Linked DNA regions of Rhinolophus ferrumequinum. The protein of the gene in region 1 interacts with the protein of each later gene in a pairwise test. Links are inferred from orthologs where the notes say so. Each region holds a gene or a part of one and is shown in the gene's direction. Other genes may lie near its edges.

What was found.
Region 2: the proteins of BNIP3L (region 1) and SMCO4 interact in binary tests that used the Homo sapiens proteins (3 or more experiments, as listed by UniProt). The two-hybrid records come from large-scale screens. The link is inferred for Rhinolophus ferrumequinum from reciprocal best matches to the Homo sapiens genes BNIP3L and SMCO4.
Region 3: the proteins of BNIP3L (region 1) and LMNA interact in a two-hybrid assay, tested with the Homo sapiens proteins (2 studies listed by BioGRID and IntAct). The link is inferred for Rhinolophus ferrumequinum from reciprocal best matches to the Homo sapiens genes BNIP3L and LMNA.
Region 4: the proteins of BNIP3L (region 1) and LDLRAD1 interact in binary tests that used the Homo sapiens proteins (3 or more experiments, as listed by UniProt). The two-hybrid records come from large-scale screens. The link is inferred for Rhinolophus ferrumequinum from reciprocal best matches to the Homo sapiens genes BNIP3L and LDLRAD1.

What each region holds. Positions count from the first base shown.
Region 1 is NC_046301.1:40,967,189-40,974,957, reverse strand, and holds the start of BNIP3L (BCL2/adenovirus E1B 19 kDa protein-interacting protein 3-like), read left to right. Parts: upstream 1-4,764; 5' UTR 4,765-4,781; coding exon 4,782-4,908; intron 4,909-5,560; coding exon 5,561-5,744; intron 5,745-7,769.
Region 2 is NC_046294.1:64,733,583-64,741,295, reverse strand, and holds the start of SMCO4 (single-pass membrane and coiled-coil domain-containing protein 4), read left to right. Parts: upstream 1-4,704; 5' UTR 4,705-5,039; exon of another isoform or gene 5,040-5,066; intron 5,067-7,713.
Region 3 is NC_046305.1:711,862-719,865, forward strand, and holds the start of LMNA (lamin), read left to right. Parts: upstream 1-4,993; 5' UTR 4,994-5,248; coding exon 5,249-5,604; intron 5,605-8,004.
Region 4 is NC_046292.1:38,714,011-38,721,948, reverse strand, and holds the start of LDLRAD1 (low-density lipoprotein receptor class A domain-containing protein 1), read left to right. Parts: upstream 1-4,927; 5' UTR 4,928-7,823; intron 7,824-7,938. Other genes in the region: TMEM59 (transmembrane protein 59), read left to right, coding at 4,119-4,274.

The sequences.
Region 1 (7,769 bases):
GATAGAGCTGAGGTTTTTATTTTCACCCAATCTAGTGCTCCTTTCAGGACATTTCTTTTCGGTGGACCAGAATCCCCTGAGCTCGTGTTTCTTTTTTTTTTTTTCCCCCTTCTTTCGCACCCCCCCACTCGGGTTCAAGCCATTGTTTCTCAGTCTGGTTGTGTTGTTTCTCAGTCTGGTTGTATAGGACACAGCTCCCTGGCCCATGCTGGTCTGATGAGCCTTGTGCTGCCCCCAGCTGAGTCAGTAGGTTGCCGGTCATCGGTGCGCCGCTCGCGGCAGCTGGGCCACTCACAGCAGCCACTCACGGCAGCTCTCGCTGGCTGCCGGCCACTCATGCTGGGCTGGCTGCCGGCCGCTCCTGGCAGCACGCAGCAGCCCAGCTCCAGGGAGAGCTGTTGTTCACAATCTTAGCTGTAGAGGGCGCAGCTCACTGGCTCATGTGGGAATCGAACCGGTGACCTCGGCTTTAGGAGCACGGTGCTCCAACCACCTGAGCCACCAGGTTGGCCCAATTGTGTGGTTCTTATTCTCTCAGAATGTTACTCCACCTAGTGTAATGTACAGAGGTCACCTGCCTATCTCTTTTTAGTACACTGTCTCTTTAATTGTACTCATTGTGTTCCTGTGATACTTATAAGTTAGCTGTTTGGTTAATATGTGTACATGATTTCACAGAAAGCAAAGGAATTGTAATTTCCTTTCACCATTTAACAAAAAAAAAAACAATGGGGTTGAGCTATACGTGATTGTTTAATCTCCATGTCTGACAGACCCGTGAGGTATGTGATGTTCTTGGCCAAGCAGTTGCTGCTACGTTTATGTTAGCTCTTCGGAAGTGGAAGAACACTCAGCATGTGTGTGATATCAAAATGTTGCTTTGGGAAATCTGCTAGATAGAAAGTATTTTATTTGGGGTAGGGTGACCTTTTAAGTTACTGAAAAGCTTTTAGATAGTGCCATATTTAATTACTCCCCTCTTGCTTTTTACTGTGTTTGTTTTTTTTGTTTTTTGTTTTTTTTAGCTCATTATACAACACTGAACTGAACAAAACAAGAAGCCTTATTGATTCCTTCAAGTGATTTTTGGGCAGAACAGCTTATTCAGGCATCTAACATGTGCTACCCAAATTGCTGATAAGTTGAAGTTCTTTTTCTTTTTGCAAAACTGTGAAAAACAGGAGATGAACTCATTGTAGAGATTATCTCTGCCTTGGGATTTTATCTTTAGTTCAAGGGTCAAAGCAGAGTGTTAATAACAAATTATTGAAATATTTGGAATAATGAAATCTTTCTCTGACTTTTTTTGTTTACCATCGTAGGGGAACTATTCACTTTGATTACAAATTAGTAAACACACAGATCTGAATTATTTCCAAAGCTAAAAGGTTATTTTCTAGTTTTACTTTTAAGAAAACTATTGTTAGTTTTACTCTTAAGAAAACTATTAAGTTACTTAAGAATATTTGTGTAGGACATATAGGTCGTAAAAATCAGAAGGTAATAGGAAAATCAAGGTAGCAGTATAACTCTTGTTGTTTAACATGGGAAGCACAGCCTTTTTTCTCCTTTTTAAACATCTACCATGACGTTCTTGCTCCCCCAGTATGACAGGAAGGCTTTTAAGGCTATGACACATGAAACTTCACTGTTTATAATACTATTTTTAACACATAAGTAACTGGTGTCTTGAGTACCTGCTTGTGCAAAAAGACCAATTCTTTTTTTTTTTTTTTTTTAAATAGGAATGTCAGTGACTATTTCTGTTCTGGATTCCAGCATTAGGTATTTGAAATAAATAAAGGCTTTGGGGAAAGAAGATAAGACATAATGAAATGTGTCACCCCGGTTAGGGTTAGAGTGACACGTGGGGCCTTGTCATCTTGTGGAAAATGAGAACTAGTACTCTTTTTCTTTCCCTCTCCCTCCCCACCCCTAACTTTCCCACACCCCTTCTTGAAAGAGGATTGAACTGGTGACCATAAAACTATGAAGAGTGTGTACAACAATAGTCATGAATATAATGACAATCACTGGACCAACCTTCGCCATGTACTACTATGTTGGAGAAAGTGGAAGGATGGGTCTCTGAATCTCTTAGTGAGTCTCAGAAACTTGTATTAGAAAATATCTCATGTGCTGTGTATATGTACCATCCGGCATGACAGAACAGTTTTCAGTTTGTAAGGAGGCTTTGAATATAATAGAGCCTGCATGTTTTTTTTTTTTTTTTTTAATTTTAAAGCTTGATTGGTAGAAAGAGAATTCACTCTGAGATTGTTTTCTACTTTGTATTGCTTGGACAGCACAATCATATCTGACCATGTTTCCTTTCCAAGTAAGAAGGGACTTAGGATTGGTAGAATTAGAACATTAAAAAATTCTGAGGCTGTGAATAGGGAGTAAACTAGGTGATGGAAAAAAGGCACATGTAGTTCATCTATTGAGAAAGATAAGTTTGCTTTCCCCCCCATTTTTCTCAAAAGATAAAGCTGATATGGAGCCTCTTAATGAATATCTGTGTACATAATTTTCTCTGCAGTACTGTTTTTCCATAGATGATATTTCTGGAAGAGAATTATTAAGTTAAAGGAAATCTACCTTTTTAAGGCTCCTAATACATATTGCCAAGTTACCCTCCACTGAAGCCTTGATTTTAATAACATTAGAAACAGTAATTTCGTTAATGGTTAACCATTGCCATTTGGAGAATGGTTAAAGTATGGTATAGCTTTATGATGAGAAGCAAAGCAATGTTTAAAAGAATGAAGTAAGGCAATATATATTGATGTTGAAAGACATCTGCAAGTTGTTAGGTAAGGAATGCTACTTACCGAAAGATATATACAGTATGATTCCATGTTTTTGTAAAAGCTCTAGAAGTTTACATGTAAAAGTTTTAAAAGTGGTTTCCTTTGGTATAGGAATGTGAGATTGGGAGAAGTATTAATTTCTACTTTATGTACTGATGTTGGCATTTTCAAGGAACACATTTTTGTAAATAATTTTTTTTAAAGGAGTATAATTATAACATTAGCTAACACATAGCACTTACCATGTACTAGGCACCTTTTGTATTTTTTTTATGTGCTTTATTCATTTCATCCTCCTAACTATGAAGTAGATACAGTTATTATTCTTACTTTACAGATTAGAAAACTGAGAGATCTAGGGTGTAACAGGTATAAGTGATAGGATGGGAGTCTGGCTTCCGTCTGTGCACTTAACCACTATACTAGTAATATATGCACAAACAATATTGTCTGCCTAAAGTAGAAATGCCTTCAGTTAGGCTGAGGGTTAGGGCCATTGCAGAAATCACTTCACTAAGCTTTTCTAGGTATGTCTCCTCAAGTTCCTAGGTTATGATTCCTTACATATTTTTTGCAGGAAGTAGAAATGGTTTAGAAATCCTTCAAAAAAGTAAGGTCTAGAAAACCTGCTATTGTTACACCCCTTTTTCTCTTTGGTCAGCTACAAGTGAACATTAATTTTATTTTGAGGAAGATTTGCTTCCACAGAGACCTCTCCAGAACTCCTGATAGCTTATGCAGTCCTGCTTCTGCCAGAGCAGAAGCAGGCTTTTTATTTGTTTTTGTTTATTTTACACATTGGGCTTTTGTACAAGAAGAACAGGTCCCATTGGTTTAAAGTAAGTTTGAAAATTCTAGAAACAGTAGAAAAAAAGTTTATCATATACCGCTGTCTTTCTGTGTCTCTCTCTTTCTAGTTAAAATATTTTGCAGAGCCCTAAATTTAGGACTGCGTTTGGCATATGTTTTATACACGCCAGAGGCACTGCAAATATTTAGTAAAATTACGTTCAGTGTTAGGTCTGTCTTAGCTTTGTTAGTTAAGTTTGTTGATCCATGTTGAGTTCTATCTAGTCTGTGTCCATTTTTGTGTGTATATAGAACGAGAACACGGAGATGTCATACAACTGTTTTTTGACAGTATCGTCCCAAAGAATCGGTGCTGATTAAGGGATTGTGACAACCCCGGGACGGCCTTAGAGGGAAAGGAAGGAAAGGGTAACTTCATTTTTATTTAGCAAACACTGTTTTAAGTGCTTTACAAATAAAAACTCTTTTAAGTAGTATATAACAGCATCTACTGTTTACTAGGTCCTTTACCTATGTTCCTATATTTAATCTTTATAGCAGCCCTGGAAGGTAGGTACTATGTAATCTGTTTTACAAATGAGGAAACTCAGGGTCAGAAAGTCAGATAGATAGTAAGGGGTGGAGTCAGATTTCCAACCAGGTTTGCCTTTGAGCTTTTCCTTCTGATGATGCTGAGTTCACTTCTGGATCTGGAATAGTCATCACCTCATTTAGAGTGCCTTTGGGTTTCGAACCTGTTTTCATGATTATTCTGATTTACTGGTAGAAGACTGTTCAGCCACAAAACTCTCTCTAATGCTTCTGCTGGGAGTTTAGAGGAATGGCCCCACCAACCCGCTTGACTGTACTTTCTAAAACAAATTTTATTGTAAAGAATGGAAATTATGAGAAAAAACATACACTACTGTCTCTTTTTGTTGTAAGGTTGGCTTATTGGCTGCCAACATGTCCCTTCTCACCCTCTATCCACCAACACATTAGCTACCTGAATGTGTTCAGCAAACTCATTGAACCAATAAATATTTTCAAGACCTAGCCAAATTACCAGAGCCACGCCCCTTTCCTGTGGCTCCACTCCCTTTGTTCCCCTGAGAAAACTTAAGTGTTGCCTGTAGCAGATCCTCAGCCATTTCTGCCCCGCAAAACTAATGAGGCTTAATGAAAACCCTAGAAAGTAGGAACTCGTGGGAGAGAAGAGAGAAAAGACAAGTTCACAAGGTATGTTTAATGCGTAGAGAAAGAGTGAGGTATAAAGAAAAGGAAGAAACTAATTCGTGGGATAGAGGTAAAACTTTTTTCAGAATTTTTAGCAACCTGATTTAGTTGAGAGCCGGCTGCGTTAATTTTATGCTCCAGATTTGTACACAAATTGAAATTTTTTTGATTGTATTTAAGTTCCCTCTCTAGGAGCTTCTCAGTTGTTTGTGCTAAGTATGACTTAGTTGTTAATTTATTTAGATGACTTTTATGAAGTTTTTAAGTCGTATGTTTATTTCATTTGTGGAGAGGATACAACTAAATGGCTGGGGTAGACTATGAAAAAATCATATATAACTAGAATATTGAAGGTAAGTAGCCTGTCTAAAAATAAAATAGCGATTTATTTTTTAAAAAGTGACCTAAAAGCTTTTACTGAAGTGTTTATTGTATATAAACTAAGCTTTAACCAGAGAGAAAATTGACTGAAAGATACATTTTCTAAGATACTAGTTTTAGAGTCCCAGCTTCTAAATTGGTTGCTTATGTGAGCTACATCAGGGACAGAACTATATAGATTTTTAGATGTTTATTGCTCTTTGCTTATTTTCTTCAGAATTCTTTCTGCATTTGGTTTAGGTGAGTCAGACTTATCTGAATTCCCCATATTCACATCTGTGTGCACATGACAGACTGCAGTTCTGCTGTGGTTAACGTAAGTTATCTGACTTGTCCAACAGGTTCCTGGGTGGAGCTACCCATGAACAGCACCAATGGCAATGATAATGGCAACGGGAAAAACGGGGGGCTGGAACACGTCCCTTCCTCATCCTCCATCCACAATGGAGACATGGAGAAGATTCTCTTGGATGCACAACATGAATCAGGACAGAGTAGTTCAAGAGGCAGCTCTCACTGTGACAGGTAAGTAAGAGCCGCATTTTGGTAGAATTCAGGAAACAGATGGGTTACAAGGGGAACTCCCGTTAGAAAAAATAAATGCTTACATCTTCATTTAATCAAAATAGGATTCTTGATTTAGTGCAGCATGTGTATTTAAATCAGACAGCTGACTGACAAGTACTTGAGTGCCCTTTGTTTTCCCCCAGATTAAATCAATGTCCTTACCAGATTGTATCATTTTTAGATGTTTATCAGTTTAAAAGTCAATGGCATAAATGTTTTTTCTTTTTTTTTTTTAAAGATTTTATTGGGGAAGGGGTACAGGACTTTATTGGGGAACAGTGTGTATTTCCAGGCCTTTTTTCCAAGTCAAGTTGTTGTCCTTTCCGTCTTAGTTGTGGAGGGCTCAGCTCAGCTCCAGGTCCAGTTGCCGTTTTCTAGTTGCAGGGGGCACAGCCCACCATCCCTTGTGGGAGTTGAACCGGCAACCTTGTGGTTGAGAGGACACGCTCCAACCAACTGAGCCATCCAGGAGCTCAGCGGCAGCTCAGTTCAAGGTGCCCTGTTCAATCTTAGTTGCAGGGGGCAGAGCCCACCATCCCTTGCGGGACTCGAGGAATTGAACTGGCAACCTTGTGGTTGAGAGCCCACTGGCCCATGTGGGAATCGAACCGGCAGCCTTCGGAGTTAGGAGCATGGAGCTCTAACCGCCTGAGCCACCAGGCCAGCCCCATAAATGTTTATGTACAGAATTAATCTGACTTTCTTCCATTTTCCTTTGTGCCTCTGTTTCACAGATCACATTCTCCTAGACTACGGTTATCTCTGTGTATCTCTGTCCTCCCTTCTAGATGGTGAGGCTTTAAAAGGCAGGGGTCATGTTTCATCTCCTTTGTACTCTCACAGTAACGGGGCTGGCATGTAGTAGACACTCAGTAAATGTTTGTGTCATAGGAACTGCAAATTGATTCAAGTTACAGCAGTATTTACACGGAAACACCAACCAAGGTCTGTAAAGATAGTTCATTTTGAAGGTCATTCTGTTTTCTTAGAGCAAGTTTTATTTCAGACCTCATTTTGGTATATTTGAGTTAAGAAAACTAATTCCACTGATTAAGGGCTGCTTATGGTGAAAGAATAAGAATATAGAGATAGGTATGAGTGTAATGAAACCGAGCTATGTTTATTTTTCAGTATAAGTGAAGTGTCTCTTTTTTTTAGAGGGTCCAGCTATTAAATGACAGTGGTATATTGAACAATGCTTAGACCAGTGGCAGCCATACTGGTAGTATGCTGGGGTGCTGGATGATCTTCTGGTTAATTAAGAGTTAACTGATATCTGCCCTGTAGAAAATGCAAATGCACATGAAAAAGATGAAGGAAACATTTAAAAATGTAGACAGTGATTAGGGGGTAGAATTACAGGTTTTTCTTCTAAGTATTTTTGTGTTTTGTAAAAATTGTGTATATGGCACATATTATTGCTTATCAGAAAAAATATAAAAGGAGAAACAGAGTTAAATTGTGTTTGAAGTGCCTGTATGTCTTATGACCCAGGCACGTTCCCAAGGCAGCAGAGGACTGGTTTGCCTGCTCTGTGCACCCCCACCACCCCATCTCCTCTCTGACTTTTCCCTGTGCTTCTTAAAAGCCTGGGGTAGCTCTAACATAAGCAGAAGCAGAACAGATGGCCCTTTTCTGAGCAGCTTGCCATTGATTCCAGTAGCTACAGCGTTAGTCTGTCTTTCAGAATGAAGTTTATATTAATACACAGGCAGACCTCAGAGATATTGTGGGTTTGGTTCCAGATCACCACAGAAAAACAAAAACTAAAGTGCGTTGTAATCTTTTTGCTGGTGGAGGGTCTCTTGCCTTCAATTTGTAAAAAATGCAACATCTGTGACGTGCAATAATAAAGTGAAGCGGACAAAATAAAAGTGCACAAAATAAAATACCAATGCATCAGTGGGCCTCTGAAGTTTTCTGTTCATTGAGGGCCTGTTGAGAAAGCTTTTCCTGTACATCCAAGTTTACATGACCATTAAT
Region 2 (7,713 bases), on another chromosome or scaffold:
GCACCGTGTGACTTCTGGCTCTTCCCCAAAGTGAAAATGATTCAGGACATCGACGCAGCCACAACAGCGCAACTAAAGACACTCACGAAAGAGGACTTCCAGAACTGCTTCAGAAAGTGGTAAGAATGATGGGATAAGTGTGTTCGAAGCAAGGAGGAGTATTTTGAGGGGGATTAATGGCAATGTGTCTTTTACTGTAATACATTTTTAAAAATTCAAACATTCACCATATTGTTTGATCACAACTCATACATACACACACATACTTGGTCATCGACCAGACCTCAAGCCCAGGGCTTCATTTCCAACAGGACATGTCTAGAGCCATGGCCGGCTCTGTCCTGACCCACAACCAGAATGCAGTCCTGAGCGAAGCTTCTTTAGCTCCATGTTCTGGTCAGTGGAGCTAAAGTGACTGTCAAGAAGGCATGAGGCAGAAAAGGAAACAGAGTCTGGGTGGATGTGACTGAAACAATTGTAAGAACAGTGCGTTGAGGGCTGGTCTACCGAGTCTGAGGCACCCTAGTCGGGACTGCCCAGGTCTATGAGACTGTAAAGTGGCGATTCCTGAGGCCTTCAGATTGCATGGACCAGTAACATCACAAAACCATTTAGGGGAGAAACTGAGGTAGCAAATTTTTTATTTCACCAAAAAAAAAACACAAAGAACAAAACACCAAAAAACTGATCAATTACAATATAATTGATCACAAATATAATATTCACTGGTACAAAAATGGAATCCATTTGCTTTACATTGCTCTAATAAGCTCTCGTTTTGGACCTGACTGGCAGAAACCCCTCCATGGACCTGTGGCCCCAGGCAATGAGCCTGAGACTTCTGCTGTAGAGGCTACACAGCCGGGCACAGGCTGGCCGGGGAGCGGGCTTATGGACGTGCGCCATGATCTTTTCTTCTGACAGCTGCAGCCAGGCTACAAACCCAGTTTCAGTTTTGAGGGTTCCTACTTCAGCAAATGCTCTGAGGCACTCAGCCTTCCCTATTCTAGATTCCTCCGTCCCCTGGCCCCACCCCACCTTGCTTCACTGACTAAATAATTTATCCGTCAAGACCAGCCCAGCGCAGCATAGCACAACATGGCACATCTCTGAAGTACAAGGTAGTGTTTCCTCATTTATCCTGAGTGTGAGAACTTGTTCTTCTCACAGCATCACACAGGGACCCAGCATGGCATGTCTTCCACAAACCTATACTCGTCATATTCTTTGTCTTTTCTCGCCTGTTTCTACAAAGCTAATGTCAAATGGATGAGTCAGAAGAATGACTAAGCCCATATCATTCATTCATTCAATAGATATTTATTGAGAGCCGATTATGTCTCAGTCTCTATACCAGGTGACAAGGATACAGTGGTGGACAAACAAACAATGTCCTGTTTCTCATGCAGGGAGAACAGGAAAGAAACAAACAAATAAATATGTAATTACAAAATGTGATAAGAACAGGAAAAAACTAGGAGTGTCATGACAGAGCATAACAGAAGGAACCTTTAAGAAAAGCTTTCCTGAGAAAGCTAAGGCCTGAGGGGTAATGGAGTGACATTCATTGGTTTTGTCACCTTAGATCCACTTTCTCTTCTGGTTACAATGCCCCGATGATTATCTTTGGGGTCCTACATTCAAGGAGTCCCATTCTTCTCTGGCTCGGGTTGGGCAGGTGACTAAGCTAGGTCACGCTGACTTTCTTTCAGGGCTTGGAATCTTGAGTAGAGTTACACAAAAAAAGAAAATACCGCAGTGGGCAATGTGCTGAGGGAGGGTTAGAGTAGAACCACCCTGCACCAGACCTCGCGGGGCCAGACTGAGTTTGGATTTTGTCTTAAATGTAAAGGGAGGTTGTAAAGATACTTTGAGCTTGGCAGACTATTTTTAGTAGCAACAAATGTCACAAAGGAAAAGCAGAACAATCCAATGAACAGCATGAAGTGCTTTGAATTGTCCACCCCAGTTCTACTCTGAGCAGGCTCCAGGAACGTAGGAATTTGTCAGGATCTTCTAATCTCTCTTAGCTCAGTTTCCTCATCTATAAAATGAGGTAGTGGATTAGCTGACCTCTAACTTCCCTTCTTTATGTAATGTTTCATATCTATGGTGAAACCTTGTCAAACTGGACAAGGTGTCCATCAGAAGTAGTTGATGAAAAAATGGGAGAAATAAACACAACCAATCTGTACAACAATTGTTGTGTTTCAAGGATTTATAAAATTTAAAGAGGCTTAAAAGCCAATATCACTAGCTCATTATCATGTTGGCTGCCAAATAGTACTTGGTTCAGCAACCAATTCAAGGAAGAACTTTGAAAGAAGGCATTCCATAATGTGTGATACTCCCCTAATCTGAGACACAGTAACTTCAAGTGGATGCTTCTTGACAGAAAACACTAATGAGAGTATTGACTCTTGAGTGAATTTCACCGAGTCCTTGCAACTTCCAAAATGCCTACGTGTGATGTGCGTATCAGTCATCTATTTCTGTATAACAAACCACCCAACACTTAATGGCTTAAAACAACCACCATTTTATTTTTCACACTTCTTGGGTTGGCTGGGCTCACTCATGTGGCTGCATTCAGCTGGTGGGTTGGCTGGGGACTGCCGCAGCTGGGATGGCAAGCCTCTCTCTGACTGGGTCTTTCATCTTCAAGGAAGTTAGATCACATTGCTTTACTTTATATACTGCGTTCCAAAACAGGAAGGAGTACTGTACAAGTGCTCATCAAACATCCCTACTTTTGCTATGTTCTGATGTCCCAGTGGCCAATGCATGTGACATGGCCAAGAACAGGGTCAATATGGGAGGGGGCTACCCTAAGGGCGTGGGTACCGACATATGATTCATTTGAGGCCATTAGTGTAACAATATGTGAACTTTCCCTCTTAGACATGGATTGCAAGATATGCAACTTTAACTTATATAAATGATAGTGCGTTCACAAAGGTACAATATACACATTATTATTAATATAAGGAAGCATTTGAAGTCACCTTATTAAGGGACTGAATCCGACATTAAATGGCTCTGCTTGCCTCATAAAATTATTCATTAATTTTTAGTAGTGGCCTTGGGAAGTTACGTACATAATATTTAGAGGAAAATGGCATTTATAATGATAATGAATTAAAGTAATTCACACTGCAATTCTGTCCCAATTTGGAACTTGAGGCTTGCTAATTTCATACTTGCACCCATCCATGCACCCATGCACCCCCAATTCCTCTGCTCTAACAGGTACTTGCCTATCTCATCTGCTAGACCTCAAACTTTTGAGGATAGGAATCTGACCTCATCCAGGTTTATTTCCCTTACTTTCACAGCACCTACAACACTCAGGAGATGTGCCCCAAGTGCTTGTTAAATCAACTAATCAATAGCTTCCTTGTATTAAACACATACACAGTCCAGGGACTTCACTCACAGACTGGATCACCAATTCCCTCTCAATACCACTGATAAATGTTATTCTCCACAGTTTACAATCGAGGGGGCTGAGGTACAGAAAGCCCAAGGTGGATGGACTGAAATTCCAGCCCAGTCCCACCTGATGCCACTTCACTGCTGCTTTATGTGTGGAGCAGGAAGGAGACTGTCAGAACTGAAAAGATGGCCTAGAGAGAGGGGCAAGAAGAAACCAGTAAGAGGCCTGCAGGGGCCCCAAACCTGTTCACTGCCTTGCAATAAAATAAACACTTGTTAATTGAGAGATTGGCCACTGAAACCCTGGTGGAAAACCTGCAGGAGAGCCACTTCTACAGCTCTTACTAAAATCAAGACCAGTTCATTCTTGGGGGTGGGGAGAGGAGGGACTGAAGAGGTCTTGCTCCCAGGGCTGGCCCTGTTGGATAGGTGACAATACCACATATACAAAGAGGTATTATCGTTGTCCTCAGGTTTTGAAAATGTAGGTGGCCATTATTTTACATTTTGTCTATAGTTTTTATTATCTCCTAGGTCAGTAATGTACCAACAATAGCTACCATTTATATACAACAGTATATGCATGGGTGTGTGTGTGTGTGTGTGTGTGTGTGTGTGTGTGTGTGAAGTGCTTTACATACAATACATGATCTCAATTAAGGCTCCCAACAAAAGTAGATTTTACTATTCTTAATTTACAGATGAGGTAACCGTGCCCAGGGAGATCAGTTTTCCCAGCCTTTAAGTGGTAGATGTAAAACCGAAGTCTATTTGACTAAAATCCTGTAATATTTAGCTGTGGGTGTCTTGCGGCTTCGGGGCTAGTGTGAGGTGGGGAATTGTGAATCCCATTTATTCATGCAAAGCTGCGGGCGCGCGCGCGCGCGGTGTGTGTGTGTGTGTGTGTGTGTGTGTGTGTGTGTGTGTGTGATTTACAATAACACAAATCCACGTCAGGATATCTTGAGGCTTAAAAGCCTATTTGGGTGGGGAGAGGCAAAAATCTCTCCTCATTCATTCACTCTTTCGCTCCCTCAAGAAGTATTTATTGCGCATCTCAGGATACCAGGCGGGCGCTACTCTAGCCGCCCTAGGAGAGAGAATGGTGAGCACGAGAGACACGTTTGCTCCCCTAACCACCACCCCCTCCTGATTTTACTATTTTGTGGGCGAAGCAGAGAAACAGGAAATGTCTCAACCCGGGAGGATGACTTCTGCCCGGGCTGCACTGGAGCGGGAGGAAGCGCATCGAGTGGCTGGGTGGTCAGGGCAGACTCCCCGGAGGCGGCGGCGGGCCCGGGGCCGGGCTCGCAGGACGAGTCTCCTGGCTCCGCGGCCCACGCTCGGAAGCGAATTGGGACCGAGCCAGGGGCGGGGCTGGTAGGAGCAGGGGCGGCGGAGGCCGGGGCGGGGGCGGCCGCCGAGTTAGGGTTAGGGCGAGAGGATTCGACTTCCTGGCGGCAGAGGGCGCCTGGCGCTGCGGTCCGGCGTGGCGGAGCCGCCAGCACGGGCGCCGAGAGGACAGGCAAGGCGAGGCGAGGAGCGCGAGCGGCGGCGGCCACTGCCACGTATTCCCGGCAGTGGCGGCGGCGGCGCGGCAGGAGGTGAGCGGCGCCGGCGCCCGCGGGCAGGTGGGCAGGGAGCGGCGGAGCGGGCGGGCGGGCTGGGAGACCCGGCACCCGGCGGGAGTGCGGGCGCTGGGACAGCGCGGTTCCCGCCACGCCGGCTCCGCCTCCGCCTCCGCGCCGGGCTGACCGCTGAGGCCCGGGCGCCGAGCAGGTCCCAAGCGCAACTCGTGCCGGCTCGGCGGGCAGGGGCAGAGGGAATGCGAGCTCGCCCGCCCGCCCGTCGCGGCTCGGGACACGGAATCCCCGCGGCTGCGGGGCCCGGGCCGCGGCCGGGAAAAGTTGGGGCGGACCGGGAGCCTGCGTGTGGAGGGCGGGAAGTGCGGGTGCCGGGCGGATTCGGAGGTCGGAAGGACGCGGGGAGAGGGGGTCCCCGGCCGGAGGCAGGGCGGCCGGGAGGGCCCTATTTGGGGAGGTGGCAGGCACGGGTCCTCTGTGGGCGGGGAGGAAGGGGTGCACGCAGGATCTAGGGCGGGAGTGGACAAGTGTCCAGCCGGGGGCTCTGCGGGTGAGAAGGGAGGGAGGAAAGGAGGGCCCACGAGGGACGAGCCTGGGGGCCGGAGGCCAGCCGGCTGCTGCATAGAGCACTGGGGCTTTGCCTCCTCCCGCCTCTTTCGCTGTAGACCCTTGGAGGGGCCAGGCTCAGAGTTGGGGACACCTCTGGTGTCTGAAGACCCAATTGGGAGTTCCTGTAAGAGGTGGGGGGAGAGATTCAATCGTTGCTTCCTCTGCTGCTTGGGTCGAATACCGCTCCTCCCCGTCTGCCACATTCACCTCCCAGACTGCATGCTTTTGTCCTGCGGAAGTTGAGGAGGGACCCCATCAATGAATGAGATATTTAAGGGTACCAAGGTGAGTCGGAATGGGCTGATATCATAACCGTCGCCTGGAAATGTCTGAAACACACAACTCGGACCACCTACACCCACGCCATTCCCTCTCCAGTACTGCCAGTGTCCGCTTCCCTGGGTTGGGCTAGCGGGTCCCTGAAGCCCAGTCGCACCTTTGCTTACAGGATCTTGGTTATCCTGAAGGGGGTATAAAACATGGCCTTTTATTCTCTGGCTGAGGTTGGTTATTTCCGAAACAAGTGGTTCTGGAGATGCTGACTGCATTATTCGAACAACCTGTAGGGTGCCACTTGACTGGAGATGACTCATGTTGGCTTCCCCCCCGCCACCCCAATAAACTTTGTATTCAAGACACAAGTTTGTCACGTCATGTGCAACAGTGTTAAGCTGGAGACCTACACTGGGGGCCTCTTTGAGCCATAGTTCTAGTCTTAAATATATTAGCAAGGAGTATGACCTTGGATGAATCACTTGCCCTCTCTGGACTCAGTTTCCTTATCTGTGAAATGGGATATAAAGATAGAGCTAGACAGTCTGATAGAGGCAGGAGTAGGTTTCTGAGAGAGACAGATCTATTTCCTTGTGAGATTGGATCAGCCACACTAAATCAACCTCAGCCTATTCTTATGAAGAAATTAGGATGGACTTAAAGGAAAACATATGAGAAGCAAGAATGATTGCAAAAAGCAACAGAAAACCAAAAACTAATAATTGGTACTAGACTTAGAGTATGAATACTAGTTTCATGCAGGCAATTAGTGTACATGGCTGTCCAGCTATTTTTATTATAAAGTTAACTGTGCTTAAAAAAATTACATTTATCTCACCTGTGGACCTGAATGTTTTTTCTTTAAACCAGCAAGCATGGAGTGGATGCTCAGTTGGATGGGTCTTGGTGTAGCCTTGCTTGGAGAATGTCCCCAGAATCTCTCATTGCCAAAGTATTGTCGATTTCCTTCTGTCTGACTGACGTTGCAATCCTTCTACCACCACACTTCTGTCATCTTTTTCATTCTGGCTTAAGTGGTGAACTGATTCCTGTTGCATAAGACATTTCTGAACTTCCCAGGTTTCTTTTTCCAGTGAGTGTAATTAATAGACAAACAATGCATGAGTCGCAGCACATTAAAAATAGCTCAAGGTAATAACTGTCCACTCACGCCTTTTCCCCTGACCTCCTGGGCAGCCTCTTACTTGAACTTCCAGGTCACCTGATGGCCGTCCCGTTTTGGATACTAAGGATTATCACAGAGTCGAAATGACACGGTCAGGTCAAATCGCACATTAATGATCAAGCCATGATGTTGGAAGGAGAGGACGATTTTTTTGTATTTAACTGAATGCTCCTGTCCTGTTTTCTTCCATTAGTAGCTTTCAAAATCCATATTGGGTTCAACCACATAATTTTCAGTAATCTTTTTTGGTCAGTTTTTTGAAAGCTGCTGTTAGTGGCTATCTCTGAGTTTGAGGTAGTGGTAAAATTATATCCTCTCTGACAAGTAAATGCTTGACTAATTAGGTTGAATCTTTAATATATCTGTAGTGTGTGTGTGTGTGTGTGTGTGTGTGTGAGTGTGTTTAAATTTTACTTTAAGGGATACTCAATAAAAGTCATGATGCTAATAATAGTTAATCATCTGAACCCCTTCCATTTATCAGGCGTTGTGAGGTGAGAAAACAGAGTTCAGAAAGGGCACAACTCTGTAAGTGTTACAGCTGGCTTGCACAAGTCACTGATGATCTCTGAAACCAGACAGCCTTCTATAATAGTAAAAAGGAATTCGTAGCTCTTCGACAGGGTT
Region 3 (8,004 bases), on another chromosome or scaffold:
CTGTGCACCTCAGAGAGACTTGAGAGGATTAAGTTAGTGATCTTGATTGTGAAAGGGTCGCCAGGGAGAGCCCTGCCAGGTGCCAGGTGTTATCCAGCCGTTTCTGGCCCGGCTGGAGCAGTGAGGGAAGACCGCCACTCTGGCTGATAGCCTCCGCCCATCCTAGTAACGTTCATGCGGGTCCCTTAAGATGGGCTAGCCCCTTCAGATCTGCCCACAGTGATGTCTCTTGTGACAGTGTGACATGTGGTCCGAGTGCTATTTGGGGGGTTCTGGGCAGGCCCGGCTGTGTGACCTTGGGCAGGTCTTTTCTCCTCTGCATTTGTGAAGAGAGGGGCTTCTTCCCCAGAGCCCTGGAGGCCTCCTGCATGGGAGGCAAAAGGTCACCAGGCAGGGGCCCCCAAACCTTACTACTAGAGAGACTTTGCCTCTGTCATTTAGTATGTTGGGTTTTACGGGTGAGATGAGGGGTTCTCTGGCTTTACAAATGGCTCTTGATCACCCGCTCCTTCTAAGAGCCTTCTCCACTGAGCTAAACTGAGCTAATCGCTCTGAACCTGCATCATTCCTCCTTGCTGAGTCTGGGTGGGAAGAAGGCAGTCTACTCTGCTGTGCAACCTCAGGCCAATCACTCAACCTCTCGGAGCTTTGGGTTCTTGGCATATAAAATGCAGATAATCCTACCTACCTCATAAGTAAGGCTGAGGTGAAAATGAAATAGGATGCCCTCCAGGCAGCCCCTAGCCCGGTGCCTGGTACATGGCAGCCACCTAAAGGACAGGCAAGTCCTTCCACTTTCAAGGTTATGACCATCACCTGTGCATGAGGCATGAGTGACTCAGCACTTTAACAGTTGTTTCGTCCTGACCCTGTGATCAAAGGATGAACAAGACAGGGACCCTCCCTCAAGAACTAAGTCACAGTAAAGGCATTCCCAAACCATGGCCTTGACTCTCCAAATCACCCCATTCCCTAGACCCGCCTCCAAAAGTCACCCCTTACCAGCCCTATGGGGGAGTAGAACTGGCTCCCCAATGGCCTAGGACCCGTTTGAGGTCTCCCTCCCACCCCACCTGTCCAGGATTACAGCCTGAGGGTACCATCTTGGCATTCAGTCAGGACAGCCTGTGTTAAAATTCCAGTTCTGCTCTCAACCATGGGACCTTAGACAAGTGGTTCTCAACTGGGGGAGATTTGGCCTCCCAGGGGACACTTGGCAATGTCTGAAGACATATTCAATTGTCCTGAGGGGCAGAGGTGCTACTGGCATCTAGTGAGTAGAGACCAGGGATGCTGCAAAACATCCCCCTGTGCACAGACACTCCCCACACCAAAGAATTATCTGGTATCAATAGAGCCAGAGTAGAGAGACCCTGCCTTAAAAGAACGCCTTTCCTCGTGGGTCATATGGGGCTAATTGCGGGTATGTACCTTGTAGAGCTATTGTGTAGGATCCACAAGGGAACGCGGATCCCTACTGTCCGATAACAGGGCTAACAGGTCCTCATACCTACTCCCTGCATGAGTCAGTCTGCCTCTGGAATCCCTCCTGGTCTCATCCTTCTGCTAAGCCCACTCCGTTTGCCTTGCCTCTTGCCAGGCCGGCGCCTCTGCGTCCTTGCTTGTTGGTCTCCATGCCCCTCTTCTCTCCTTCCTGACCCCAGCCTTCTCAAGCAGCCAGAATCTTACCCCTCAGACCCCATCGCATGCAGCCCCAGCTCCTGTCTCCTCTCCATGTCTCCCGGCCTGCCCTTCTTCGCACACTTCCCCGCCTCACCTCTGCCCAGCCTCTGCCCAGCCTGTGTCCAGACTTCCTCTGGGCCCCAGTCCACCCCAGCACCTCCCACGCCTCCCGCCAAAGTGGCATGAGATAGTGAAGCACATCTTGGATTTGGACCAGGCTGCCTGGTCCAAGTCTGAGCTTGGCCTATTACTTACTGTCTAGTCTTGGGAAAGTCAGCCTCACCTGTAAAACGGGGACGCTCCGACCCATGAGGTAGTTTTGTGGACCAACCTGAGAATGTAGGTGAAAGCATATAGGTCCCGCTTTATATTTTTATTGTCATAGTGCTTACCACCTTCTGACTAACTGTAATGTTGTGTATTTATTGCCTATATCCCTCCACTATAATGTCACCTCCAAGAGGACAGGGATTTTTGTCTGTTTTATTCACTATTGTACCCTAGTGTCTAGAGCAGTGGATGGCACATAGTAGGTGTTCAATAAATATTTGTTGGATGAGTGAATTCTCTATCTCTATATAAGGCACTTCTATAAAGTCCCTCACTCTACTTCTTCTAAGGACCTTCCCTTCAAATGCTTGTAACTTAATCAATGCAGTATCCCCATTTTATAGATAAGGAAACTGAGGCTGAAAGAAATGCAGTAACTTGCCCAGAGTCACTCTCCTGAAAATGGCAGGGCCAGATGCATTTGTTCATTTCAAAACACTGAGCGCCTCCTGTGCGCCAGGCATTGGGCCCGTTGTTGGGGACACAGATAACCAAGACTTGGCCCCTTCTGTCCCCACAGCACTTTTGGGAGGAAGGGTCCTCGAGGGAGGCCCAGGATGCTGTGGAAACATTGGAGGGCCCCCCTCCCAGGTCACTGGTCTTCAAGACAAGAGCTCCTTCACTGCCCAAACCATCCCTTGGACTCAACCACTGTGTTCTGATTATGCTCCAGCTCCCAGGCTTCTGGAACCCATTTGGAATTCATTTGCCAGGTCAGGGTCCTATACTGCCCTTTAGCCACTGTGGTTGGTCTTGCCTCTTCCTATGTTTTTCCCACCAGTGAGCAACTGCCTTGAGACCAAGCAGAGTAGCTCAGTCCCCATGTCTTGGTAGCCACTCTGGCCAGATGAGGAAACTGAAGCCCAGAGAAGTAGTAGCAGATGTATTATCTGTCACATAGTAGGGGAGCGGCAGGACTGGGACCTGGGGTCCACCCAGTCCCAACTTGCCACGCACCCCTCAGCAGGCTCCGTCTTCTCAACTGGCCTCTTCCACTTTCTCCGGCTTCTCTGGGACTGGGGACCTGTACTGGGGATCCAGAGTTAGGACTGAGTATTCAGGAGAAAGCCCAGCTTTGAAGCTCAGATTTAGGATTGAGGTCATTTTGGTGGTGGTGAGGCCCTGGAAACTGGGACTCTGGAAAGGGCCTAGAGTGAAATTTGGGGTGGGGTTCCTCCCACCTCTCTTCTGCCTCTTTTCCCCAAAGATGAGGAGGTCCGGGATAGGAAGAGTTAAGTGTGGTTTTGCTTCCCCAGCCAGGAGGGGAAGCCAGACCGGGCGGGGGACTGGGTGGGGCAGAGTGGGGGCTCTGAGTGTGGGGGGGGGCTGAGGCAGTGGGACTGCGGGAGCCCTGCCCCTCACATTTCACTGACTCTCCCACCCCCTCCTCTGCTCCCAGTTTGGGAAACAGAAGAGGGAGAAGCAGAACAAGACTGTTTCGTCTGGGGAGCCCAGGGTGGGTGCCACGCCCTAGGAGAGAGGTAGCCGAGTCCTGGGTCCCTCACATGTGTGCATCCTGGATGCTCTGCACTGCCCAGTACCCTCCTAGAGCTGGGAACCTGAGCATCCCCGCCCTTCCTGGTGCTCCTCCCTAAACACTCAGAGCTCTTGCTGTAATCCTACTGCAGCCCCTCTCGTCCATCTGAGGCCAGCTCCAGAACCCACAACAGAGGGCCTGACCAACTCTGCTTCCTTTGCGTATTACAGAAATCCTGGTGTCCTGGAGCTGTAGGAGCTAGCAACATAATTTAACTTTCCTGTTTCCTCCTCAGAATAAGTTGTGGGATGCCAGGGGCAGGGCACCCATGGCTTCCAGCGCCTCAGCTCTGCCACCTCTTAGAAAAGATAATGTGGTTGGTGGGGCCAGAGCCAGGATTAGGGGATGAGAGTGGAAGACTGACCAAAGGGGTCCTTGGTGAGGCCCAAGGATGGAGGCTGTGGAGCCTGGGGTGGGAGCCTGGGGACCTGGGTGATCCTGTTTTGTGCGAGGGCCTGGCCCCTCCCCAGAGCCAGCTGTAAAGTAGACCTGGCTGCGCAGGAATGTAGATAAGTGCAGTGCTGGCCTTTGCATCCAGCAAGGTTGTGGGAGCTTTGTTGTCTCTGTTCCCCACTACCCCCTTTCTGGATGAAACCAGGATGGAGACTCACCACTGGCCATCCAGCCCCCTGCTCTGCTCCCACTTTCAGGCCCCTTCAGGAACCACAAAAATCTAGGACCTGATGTCCTGGCAACGTGATGAGTGCACACACAGCTCTGGTATCTGTTTTAAATTATCCATTAAAATAAGTACAGTCCTGGAAAAAGAAAAAAAATCAGTACAGCCCTGGATTTGGCAGGGTGGGGTAAGCGGTAGGAGGGATGAAGGGGGAGGGACCTACACAGCCTCTTTTCCCAATTGCTTGGGTCCAAAGGAAGGTGGTCAGGGGATGGACCTCAGAATCTGGAACTTTGCTGTGTGCCCCCAGGGATTCCTTCCCCACCCCACCCTGGCATTCTGAGATGGCAACTTTGAATGGGCTGCCCACGTGTGTGTGGGGGGGGTAGGGGTGACTCACTATTACTATGGGGAGGAAAGGGGGAGCTGGTGGTGGAAGAGTGAGTCACCCTGATGGGCACCAGCCTCAGCCCTCCCCCCTCCCCTTTCCTGGATCTGTCTGCCTAGCGCCCTCCCTTGCTTTACATCCACTTTCCCTCTCCCTCCACTCCCACCTTTCGCCCACCCAATCTCACCCCTTGGCTCTGCCCTTTACCCGCAAGGCCTGAGGCAGTGGGGGCAGGCTTGCAGCCGGGAGCGCTGAGCAAGCGGGAACCAAAACGCGAGCTTCAGCGAAGCCCGGGGCAGACTGAGGTGCGAGGGAGAGGGTGGGGCTCCACTCCGCCCGAGCTGGGCTGTCCTCTGCTCTGCTCGCCACTCCCGCCCCCACCCCACGGGTATGCGGCGGCTCCTTTAAGAGCAGTGGCCCCTCCTCCCATTCCCAGGACCTATTAGAGCCTTTGCCCAGTCGCCGGTGACTCAGTGTTCGCGGGAGCGCCGCAGCCACTGCAGCCAACCCGGATCCCACGTCCGACAGCGCCGGGCCCAGATCCCCACGCCTGCCAGGAGCAAGCTGAGAGCCTGCCGGCCGGCGCGCTCCGACCCCGGCCCCGGCCCCGACCCGCCTCTGTCCTTCGTCCCGAGCCCCGCGCCCTTCCCGGGATCCCTGCCCCGCGGGCAGCACTGCCACCCTGCCGGCCATGGAGACTCCGTCCCAGCGGCGCGCCACCCGCAGCGGGGCGCAGGCCAGCTCCACCCCGCTGTCGCCTACCCGCATCACCCGGCTGCAGGAGAAGGAGGACCTGCAGGAGCTCAACGACCGCTTGGCGATCTACATCGACCGTGTGCGCTCGCTGGAGACGGAGAATGCAGGTCTGCGCCTTCGCATCACCGAGTCGGAGGAGGTGGTCAGCCGCGAGGTGTCCGGCATCAAGGCCGCGTACGAGGCCGAGCTCGGTGATGCCCGCAAGACCCTCGACTCGGTGGCCAAGGAGCGCGCGCGCCTGCAGCTGGAGCTGAGCAAAGTGCGCGAGGAGTTTAAGGAGCTTAAAGCGCGGTGAGTGGGCCCAGGTGGCGGCACGCCCAGGTGGCGGCGGAGGGGCAGACTGGTCACCCCTGCCCGGCCCCAGGCGGCTGATAACTTTGCCATATAGTCTCCTCCCTCCCCGGAACTGCCCCTAGCGGGTGACTGGCAGTGCCAAGGGAAATCGGCAGGACAGGACAGAGAAGGGAGGGGTCTCTGGGAGATGGGTATCCAAGGGTGAGGGCATCAGGGCCAAGGAGGGATTGGTGGTAGGCCCGTTCAGTCAGGAAGGTTTGCCAGCCATTTGGAGCGGCGGGAGGGGCTTGAGCAAAGCAGAACTGACCCCACCAAGTCTAAGAAGTCTGGGCACTGCAGGACACATTGGAGTGGGTGAAAGGGTCCAGTTAGAACTTTCTTGGCAGGCTTGGCACAGTGCCCATTTTGCCCAGCCTGGGTCTGAATACATGAGGTCCACTAAGACAAACTCCCAAGTTGGCATATGTCCACTGGTGCTGGAGAGAGGTCACCAAGGCAGGGTGACAACCCACCCCCCACCGCAGGGGCATGGAGGTGGCCCCCTTGGCTCGACCCTATCCGGGTTCTTTCTAAGAGCTGGGAAACTCTCCTTCACTCACTGCATCTCTGGGACCTTCTCTGGACTCTGACAGTCCCCCCAAACAGCTCCAGGAGAGTGGCTCCCAGCTCAGGCTCCCCCGCAGCTCCCACAGCCCTTGGCCTGCTTGGCCCAGGAATGCAAGGGAGGGAGGCAGAGGCTCCCACTCAGGAAGTTGTGTTGTGCCCAGGTCTGGCTGCCCGGGCGGGCAGCTTCCCCGCCCTCTGCCTGGTGTCTTGGAGGGTTTAGGACTCTGTCCCTCTCGGTCTCCCTCCCTTGGGGTGAGCCACTTTCATTTTCCCAGCCAGGCCCAGCCGCTTTTGCTCTGTCCCATCCTCTCAGTCTGACTTTTTTTGGTCTTGGCCTTAATAAACCGGGAATACAGTGACATTTTTGAAATCCAGCCGTTGGAAGCTTTAGGCCACTCCTCCCTCACCCATCCCGGCCTGGCCCCACCCTACCCCACCCTACTTGACTCCACCCTCTTCTAAAAAGAACTTTGGAGCCTGGAAGTTTAGCCCCTCTTCAGCCCCCCAAGAATTTGGTTTCCTCCTGTCTACTGCCCTTTTCACCATGAAGACCTAAACCAAAGAGAACTAATGCTGCTTGCAGATCTGTGGTTGTGGGGGCCCTGTGGTTTGACTTCCCCTTATCTTCTCCAAACTTTTGCTCTTAGCTCTCTGGACATGCCTTCACCAGTCCCCAGTCCAGGGGTCGTAGGTGTGGCAGATTCATCTCTTGTAAAGAGTAGTGAGTTGCAAGTCGTGTGGGGAGATGGGCTTTTATTCCTGTTGAAAGGGGTCGCTCCTGTCTTTTTCACTAGTGATGTGGACGATTTAGTTAGCAGGACAGACAGGAGGTAAGCTTGGGGAGTCCCAGAGAATGTCAGTGTCGGAAACCTGTCCACTCAACCACCTTCGCAGATCCCAGCGAAGGGCTTTCCTGGCTGATGGGGGAACGGCACGAGTGGAGGCTTGGTCCCATGCTAAGCCAGCCACAGCAGTCTGTCTCCCCTGCCTTCTGGTGCAGCTGTCCAGGCCTGGGACACCAGGCGGGGGTGTGCACACGTGGGGTAGGGGCGGGGGTGGCGTGTGTACATGTTATATTTAGCCACCTGCCTCTCTTCTCCCCCACTGATCCTGGCTGGGGAGGCTGGGCTTCCGGCAAAGGGGGGTGGATTTGCACACCTGGATCCTAGGCGGATGGGCGGCGGCAGGGTGGAGACAAAGAAGGCTCAGACTGGGGTGACAGTCACCTTCTATGTTCCCAGTGGGAGGAGCTAGGATTTGTTGCTCCCTTTCGCATCTGCTGTGCCCAGGGTGAGGTGGAGAAGAGTAGAATGAAGAATTTGGAAGAGGAGGAGAGGCCCGTCTTGTCCCAATTTCTCCCACTAAAACCTGGAGAGAAGGTGTTTAATTAGAGCTCCAAGTTCAGGTCAAGGTTTGTGTTGGGATACAGAGCTGTCTGTAAGCTCCTGTGGTCCGGCCTGGGTACCTCGACCACACCCAGGGGTTTGGGATGCCCTCTTATTGAGCTGGATTGTGGGCTCCAAGCAGAAACACTCCCCCCATAAACACACATACGCACATTCTTTCTATCCTGGAGCCTAAGTGTAGGGAGAACAGGGAAGGCCTGCCTGGGGTCCAGGCTTGGAGCAGGGCCCCACCCCAGGCAAGACAGCTGGGTGGGTGACTCAGCCTGCCCCCCTCCCTCCCGCCCTGGTGGCTTTACAAGAGACAGTGGGAGAAAGCAGATGTCTCAGAGGGAGGGATGGGGGCCTGAATGTCTGCATCTCCGCCCCTCCCCCTGCTCCCCGCTAC
Region 4 (7,938 bases), on another chromosome or scaffold:
CTTTCTACTAGGCACTGATATGAATTAGCTCATTTCATTCTTACACTAATTCTGTGAGATGGCTGCTATTATTATCCCCATTTTTCAGATACAATAACTGCAAGAGAGACTATATAATTGTCCCAGTGTCACATACCAGTAAGTGTAGAACCAGAACTTGAACCCAGATGGTGTGACTCCAGAGCCAGTACTTTTAAGTTTCTTTAGTTATCCTGGAATCAGAATAGGAGAGTTGATTATGAGATTCATATCAGGAGCTGATGTCCTGTGTGCCCTCGGACACTAGGAAGATAAATACCACTGAGACCACATGGTTCATGTTTTTGTTCCAGGATGCTCCAACTCTCTTATCCAAGTAGTTCTTAGATGAACATTTCATAGTTTTTCCTCTCTTAACCTTATTTGACTTTTGGAAGTGACCTCCTCTTCTGATACTGTTTAGATATGTTAATGCCAAACTACCATTGTAGTTTGGTCACATTTTCTAGATCTGGGGATCTTTCCCTCCTTTCCAGGTGACTCTTGATCTTTCTTTTCCTTTTCGATGTTGTCTCTGTAGTAATAAATTTTGATTGTATAGCTTTAATTCTGTGAGAAATTCTCTCCCACTTTTCCCACTTCCGCCTCCTAGATCCTAGTGACCATAAAGCCTAAGGCATTTAGACCCACGTGGAGACCTGGTGATGGCTGTTACATTCTCTCCAACTATCTGCCTTCTGAATGTTATTTTCTTGCCCCTCTTTGAACTCTTCTTCCTAGCTTTAACAATTAAAGTATGGCTGCACCCTCAAAGAGTCTAGACTTTTCTGAGGAGACATATTTTCTAGAAAAGTGTGTGGAAATAGCTATTTAGATTCACTGCTTTTAGGCTTTACTTTGTATGTGAAACCACACTTCCGCTAGGTATTAAGGTTGTTTCAACTATATTTTTATTATAAAAATACTGTATACTTAGTGTGGAAATTTGTAAAGTACATATAAAGAAGCAGGAAAAAAAAATCATCCTTTCATCCAGAAATATTGTTGTGTTGCCATTTTAGTGGATTTCTTTCAATATAAACAATTTTTGTTTTTGTTTTTGTTTAAAAATACTGCAGTGTAAATATTTTCCCCCTCTGTTTACTATAAAAATCATTGAGAACTTAGCGTTAGAAATGTTATTCAATTTTTTTTTTGGCCAAAAGCCATTTATTTTAAACTTTACTTTCAGAAAGTCTTTTCATTGATTTTATTGGAGCATAAGTTATTGCTGACCCCTCTCCATAGTAAGACTCCATTTTAAGTCCTACGAGAATAATCCATCTATGACCAATGTTATTTATATTGTGTTTATTATTTATATATGTTTCTGTATGTTTGTAGGAAATCATAAGCCTGTTGAGAGAATGTGTGTCTTTAGTACAGCCTTGGTTCTTGGAGCTTAAACATGAAATATAAAAAGTTTCCTTTTCAGTCACTGAAACAAAGCTTAAAATGGTGGTGATAAAGGTCAGGAATGTGGTCTTAGGAATGTATAAGCAGCTTTATTTTTCTTATTTAGGAAAGCTCTGAAATAATTTATCTTTAGCCTGCTTTGCATGTAGTAGTTAGGTATTTATTATATATCATTTATTTGTAATAGCCATTAAGAGTTAGCAAAGAATTTCATTTTCTTGGTTGATCTTAAAGCGGTGTTATTTGATTGACTTGATGTATAAAGATTCTGATCCTCTTTACTTTTTTCCTCTGTTCTGTCACATTTATGATGTCATTTTTTAAAATTAATGGGATGGCAGTTTTTCTTGTTGAGCTATCTATTTAAGATAATGAAGAGTTGTCTGTCATTCATAGTGGTCCTTGACAGGCAGGCCAATCTTGGCATACCAGAATGGGGTTTGGCAGTATTGGGTATTCCTTCCTAGAGATCAGGCAGCCTCAGAAATTCGCTATAGCAACAGATGTTGATATAGATGCTGCCTTATTATTATATCTTTATATGTGTGCTTCCTTTTCTCTATTTGTCAAGACCATGATCATCTGATTTTGTGTGGTCAGTTAAGAAGAGCTTTAAAGACTCCTAATAACATTCGTGTTAGTAAATCACACACATTTATGGATAACTTATTATGTGCCAGGCCCTGTTCAAGGGATTAAAGATACAATGAAGAATAAGATCAAGACAGAAGAAAGTTAAATGTTAAAGGTTTCTGTGACTCAGGAAGTAGGGTGAAATATGTCTTAAAGTATAATAACCAGTATTTTCTTTGTCAAAAAACCAAGACTAAGAACCTTGTTTTTCTACAAGATCCTTGTAGAAGCTTTAAGTCTTATAAAAAAAGTCAATTAGAAAACAATGTGAGTGCTACAGCTTTTTAATCCAAATTCTGTTAAGAAACTGAGTTTTAGAAAAGATTTAAGTAACTTATCCAAGATTGTGTAATGGTTATTGACAGAGTCCAGGCCTAAAGCCCAAATATGTATTTACTAATTGAATTTATTTTTCTAACTTTTAGAAGTAATACATGTAACATAAGTTAAATTTTTCTCTTCAGATAAATCAGTCATTTTTATAAAACTTCCAAATAGTTACCATTTTTAAATTTTATCTTCTATTTTTTTTTGTTTTATCAACTTTAAATATTATCTAATGTCTTCCTATTGAAGGATGAGGAATTTAGTTCTTTACGTTATCTCCCACCTCACCTCCCATCTCTTCACTTTCTTCCATGTTGATGTTTGAAATCATTCAAACAGTTCCTGGTTGCTGTGTCAAGGTCTTTAAATGTTGTTAGGTAGAGTTTTGAAAGTTTTTCTTTCACAATGACTCAGAGCAAATTATCACATGTTAATTCTGGGTTTTAAGGAGGCCACATATATCAGATCCATGTCCAATCCATCAACTGCTGAATTTTGTCTGGAAGTTATTCTCTTACTGCAAAAGTATAAGGTACTGGGCCATCTTCTTATTATAGGGTAGCAATTGCCTTGAAAGCGTAGGCAGCAGACCATATCTGAAACATGTTTAAGTAAGCAACCATCACACCAGTCACTTTTAGAACATTTTTATCACCCCCAAAAGAAAACTCACACTTGTTAGTGTCACTCCTCATTTCCTCCCAAGCATCACCACCACCACCACCACCACCACCATCACCACTCCTAGCCATAGACAACCACTATGTGGTCCCTTGTGACTGGCTTCTTTCACTTAGCATAATATTTTCAAGGTTCATCCATGTTGTAGTATGTATCAATGTTGATAAGTACTTAAACTCTTTATTCAGCGTCTTTTAAATGCACCTTTCCAACATTAAGTACTTCTGTGTGGTTCTTGCTGTATAATCTAGTCACTTGCCCTATCAGTAACGTCAGAACTTCAATTTTTAACTCATGATTCTGAGATTTGTTGCCAAGGAAGTGAGTTAACAAAATCTATCCCATTTCTTAGTAAAAACTTTTCACTTCACTTTTTTACTTTTAGGAGACAGACCTACATCTAAATAAAATACTTTCCAAAGATATTAGACGTGACCATTGTACTCCAGTGAATTTTATGACATTTGCAATGACTGTTTTATGCTTTCTTTGATTTGTTTTACTATCTTCTTGGATATAATGGTAATAATTTGAGGAGCTTTTATATGTTTATGAAGATCTTTCTATCAGTGTTAAAATGTTTCATGTATATTCTTTGTTCTACTCATAGCCTTTTAAAATAGCACGTATTTTCCAAATGTATTAAGTTAAAACATTTAGGAGGAGAGAAACTAAATCAAATCATTTGACAACTTGTTTGGAGAGTTAAGAGTTAAAGGAATTAATCACTTAAGATATCAAACATCTAGAATGAGAGCTCTTGGTGTGGCCACACTAACTTCATTTAAATCTGAGCAATTTTTTCTTGATACTCAGTTGTTATACTTCTAAATATTTTAAGTTGGGACATGTAGAAAAAACTCTTTTGGCCATCCTTGGCAGCTGAATCTCATATTTGTAACACTTTGAGTAAAGGCATTCTTCATTCTTGAGAATGTCTATAGCAATCTTTTTTTTATTTTTACCAAAAAAAAAAAAATTACTTGAAATCTTAGAGAGATTAATTATCCAAATTGCTAATGTGTATTGATTTTATTTTGCAGAAGCTGAGTATCTATGGTGACTTGGAATTTGTGAACGAACAAAAGCTAAACAGATACCCAGCTTCTTCTCTTGTGGTTGTTAGATCTAAAGCTGAAGATCACGAAGAAGCAGGGCCTCTACCTACAAAAGTGAATCTTGCCCATTCAGAAATTTAAGGGTTTTTTTGTTTGTTTGTTTGTTTTTTTTAAGAAAAATGTAATAGACATCTAAATTTCCATTCCTCATAGAGCTTTTAAAAATGGTTTCATTGGATATAGGGCTTAACAATCACTATCAAAGGCAAATAAAGTTACCCAAATCTGTAAAGACTGTATTTGCTGTAACTTTCCCTGTAACTTTTTCCTAGTAATTTAAGAGGTGAATATTTGGAGTTGTATTTTTATTTTAATATCTGTAGCTACTTTAATTATTATTTGCATTGTTTTTGTTTATTTTCTTTCTTAGCCAAATTCTATGAGCTGATCATTGTTCTTCCCCACCTCTCGCCACGATGCCATCAATCACCTTAGGTAATAAGCTGAATGCTCAGTAGACTATGATGCTTCTGCTCAGAAATAGCCCACAGCCTGTAACTTGAAATTTAGCAGGAAATGCCCTTTGATGACACTACATTTTCAGTTGGATTGAACTGAAGTTATTAAAATTTTATTTGAATAATTACGTGGAAATTGAGTTTAATAGACTCCTGATTTTCCAGTCTTTCCTCTCACCCCTAGCCAACCCAGACAAAAATTCCAATCTTTCTTCTTACCCCTAGCCAAACTCTAGAAATTCTATTTCTATCTATTGCTATATAATATGATCAGGGAACAAATTGAAGCAAAAATGATCCTCTCAGAAGTGCATTTTATGTTATTTGCACAGCCCGTAGACTTTTGTTGGATAAGTCTTTCCAAAGAACCTTTTCTGTTAGAAAGTATATCAAGTATAAGTTTAAGATATTTTCAGAGAAAACTTCATTTTGACAGTAAGAATTAGATTCTTGTGATGCAGAATTAAGTATAGATTTCACTTGGCAAAAGCTATTATTATCATTCCTTTATAATAATACAGATTTAAAGCCAAGAGTGATATCAGGTAACACAGTATACCAGAGTCTTAACATGATTCGGTGTCTTTATACCATAAAATGTTAAATAACTTGGCAAACCAATATCCTCACCAACGGGCATTGCTGACAACTGCAGTAGCACTTTCTGACTAAAGAGTGAGTCACACACTTACCTTACAGACTAGTCATAAGCTTTCTCTGAGTCCAAAAAAAATACAATTAACAAGACCTTGTTCACAAAACATAGGTTTCACGTTTTAAAATAGTTTGTCTAGATTCGGAAGCTAAAGGGTTAGAAAGTATGTGAACACATCCAGATGCAGAAGAGAGGAGGAATTACTAGGCTGACATCAAGCAGTCAATGTCTTATTTTTTGTGAGAAAACAGTTACAAAACATGAAGAACGGATTGGAGTTCACCTTTAAAATAAAGCCCAATTGTCTTATTCCCTACCCATGGTACACACTTAAGTTCCTTAATATCAGGCACAGGTTTAACTGAAGCAAACCAAGGGGGAAATAAAACGTGCAGATTTATAGGAGTCAGCCCACTGTTAGGAAGGGCCTCCCTTATAAAAACAAAAAGAATATCTAGATAAGAAGGAGCAACTGGATGATTGTCCTGCATTCTCTCACCTTCCCTTGGTTTTGTTTCCGTTTGCTTTCCAAATAAAGTTCCCTCTGACAATATTGATTCAAGTGCAGGTAAACTTACCACTCTTGTTTATGAGACAATTCCTGTATGTGGAAATACCTCATCATTCCTTGTATTTAGTAGGCACTCAGATACTCGTGTCCTGCCTTCATTTTATTTCACCATGATTAAAAGAGACTGACATTAAAAAAAAAAGTTCTACTTTTAAAAAAATTATATCCCCCCAAAAATATATGCATGTGTACACACACACACACACACACACACACACACCCATAAAAAGTGTTTGACTTGAAAATTCTAACGAAGGCAACCAAACCGAGCCTCTAGGCCCCTTCTCCTAAAGGAACAGTTTAGCCCTTCTTTGGTGGGTCCAGCTTCATTTGTTTCCATGAGACAGGTACCACCTTCTTTCCTCCTACACAAAAAGCATCTTCTCGAGAAGATGCTTTGTCTTGGTCCTAGGGAAGTTCTGAAGCCCCTTGAGTCTCTGGTTCAAACCTCACAGATTCCTAAGGTCCTTGGTTCAGGTCCGTAGTCTAAGAGACATACTGATTCGGGCAATTATGAAAATAGTCACCATAATGATCTAGGCCCAAGATTCTGTCTTTCACAAAACTTCATGGATACCTTTTATTTATGATTGTTTTTTGGTAAATAAAAAATTGCCAAATCGTCTGGTCCATCACTCTTGTCTCAGAAATTCCTATGATGTATCATCAGCCCAGCTGATCAGCACGTGAAGCCTAGTGTTTTTACTCAGCTGATATTCTAGCCAAAAGCAAACAACTTTATCCCTGTTGTTCATCTGGCTTTATCATAGATAAATAAATGTGCCATTTCTATTATAATTTTTGTGGTCTCTTAAGTATCTTAGGGCCACACGTTGGGAATCATTGATCTAGAGGTTCGTTCTCAACTAAGTCCCCATCACTGCCACCCCATGGCAGTGATTTTGCCCAGATATCCTATTATAGATCTATAGTTCAACCATTCAGCAACCACTTGAGAGCCTGAGTGCCAGGCCCTGTGCTAGATGATAGGACTGCAACAACAAACAAGACCCAGGGCCTGACTCGAGTTGCTCAAAGTCTAAAAGAAGGAAACATTATTATTAATGTAATTATTGTGACCAGATAAGCAGAGTACTACGGAAGTACATAGGAGGGCCCTAACTTCTAGGAGGAAAAGGAAAATCCAAACAAAATACAGGGAGTAGTATTCCAGGCGTGGGCAGTATGCTCAAAGACCTAGAGACAAGAGGGTGGGAAACTACAAATTATTTAGCAGGCTAAGATACAGCATACAAAGCATAGCAATAGATGGGACCAGATAATAAAAGACTTGACTAAACTTGGATTCGATCCTGAGCATGATGGAAAGCCATAGAAAGGCCTTAAGCAAGAGAGTTGCAGAGTTTTAGAACAACTCTCAACAAGGATGTGGAGATAGACCAGAGGGGCAGGCCCAGAGGCCATCAATATCTTAGCTCTATGGTAACCGCTGGGATCTATTAAGTTACGTACCTACCCAGCCACACTGAAATGGGAAATTTCGTTTCCTTCCCAGACTTCTCTTTTTTAAAATGCCCAATATTCCTATTTTCTTTCATTTTACCTCATGTATATTTTTGAACTCTTCTCTATAAGGCTCTCTGTACCCTATATTTTGTTTGGATGGTAAGCCTAGGACTAGCCTCTGAGACCTGGTCACAGTCTGACTGTTGCCAAAAAAACTGGGAAGGCTTTTCCATGGAGCCCAAGCTTCTTACCAGACTTCATGTTGGGCAAAATTTTTAAACTATAATGCTATGTCAACTTACCATCCTAAAGCTCTAAGTTTGCCAACCCAATTTCTCCAACTTGGTGTGCTCTTGAGCCCCTCCCACCAGGTTTCCAGTGGCTAAACATTTCATGTTTGTATTTGAGCATCATCAGGATGAGGTACCTTATTCGTCTTTCCTTGACCACTTATTCTGGACTGGAGTCTGCAGATGGAGGTATGTACCGTGATACAGATAAAAAAAACTGAGATAGTGGAAAACGGCAGTCTTCTGTGGGAAGCTAGAGCATACAGTTAAGTGTGGATTTTTCAACTCCTTCAAGTAATTAAAT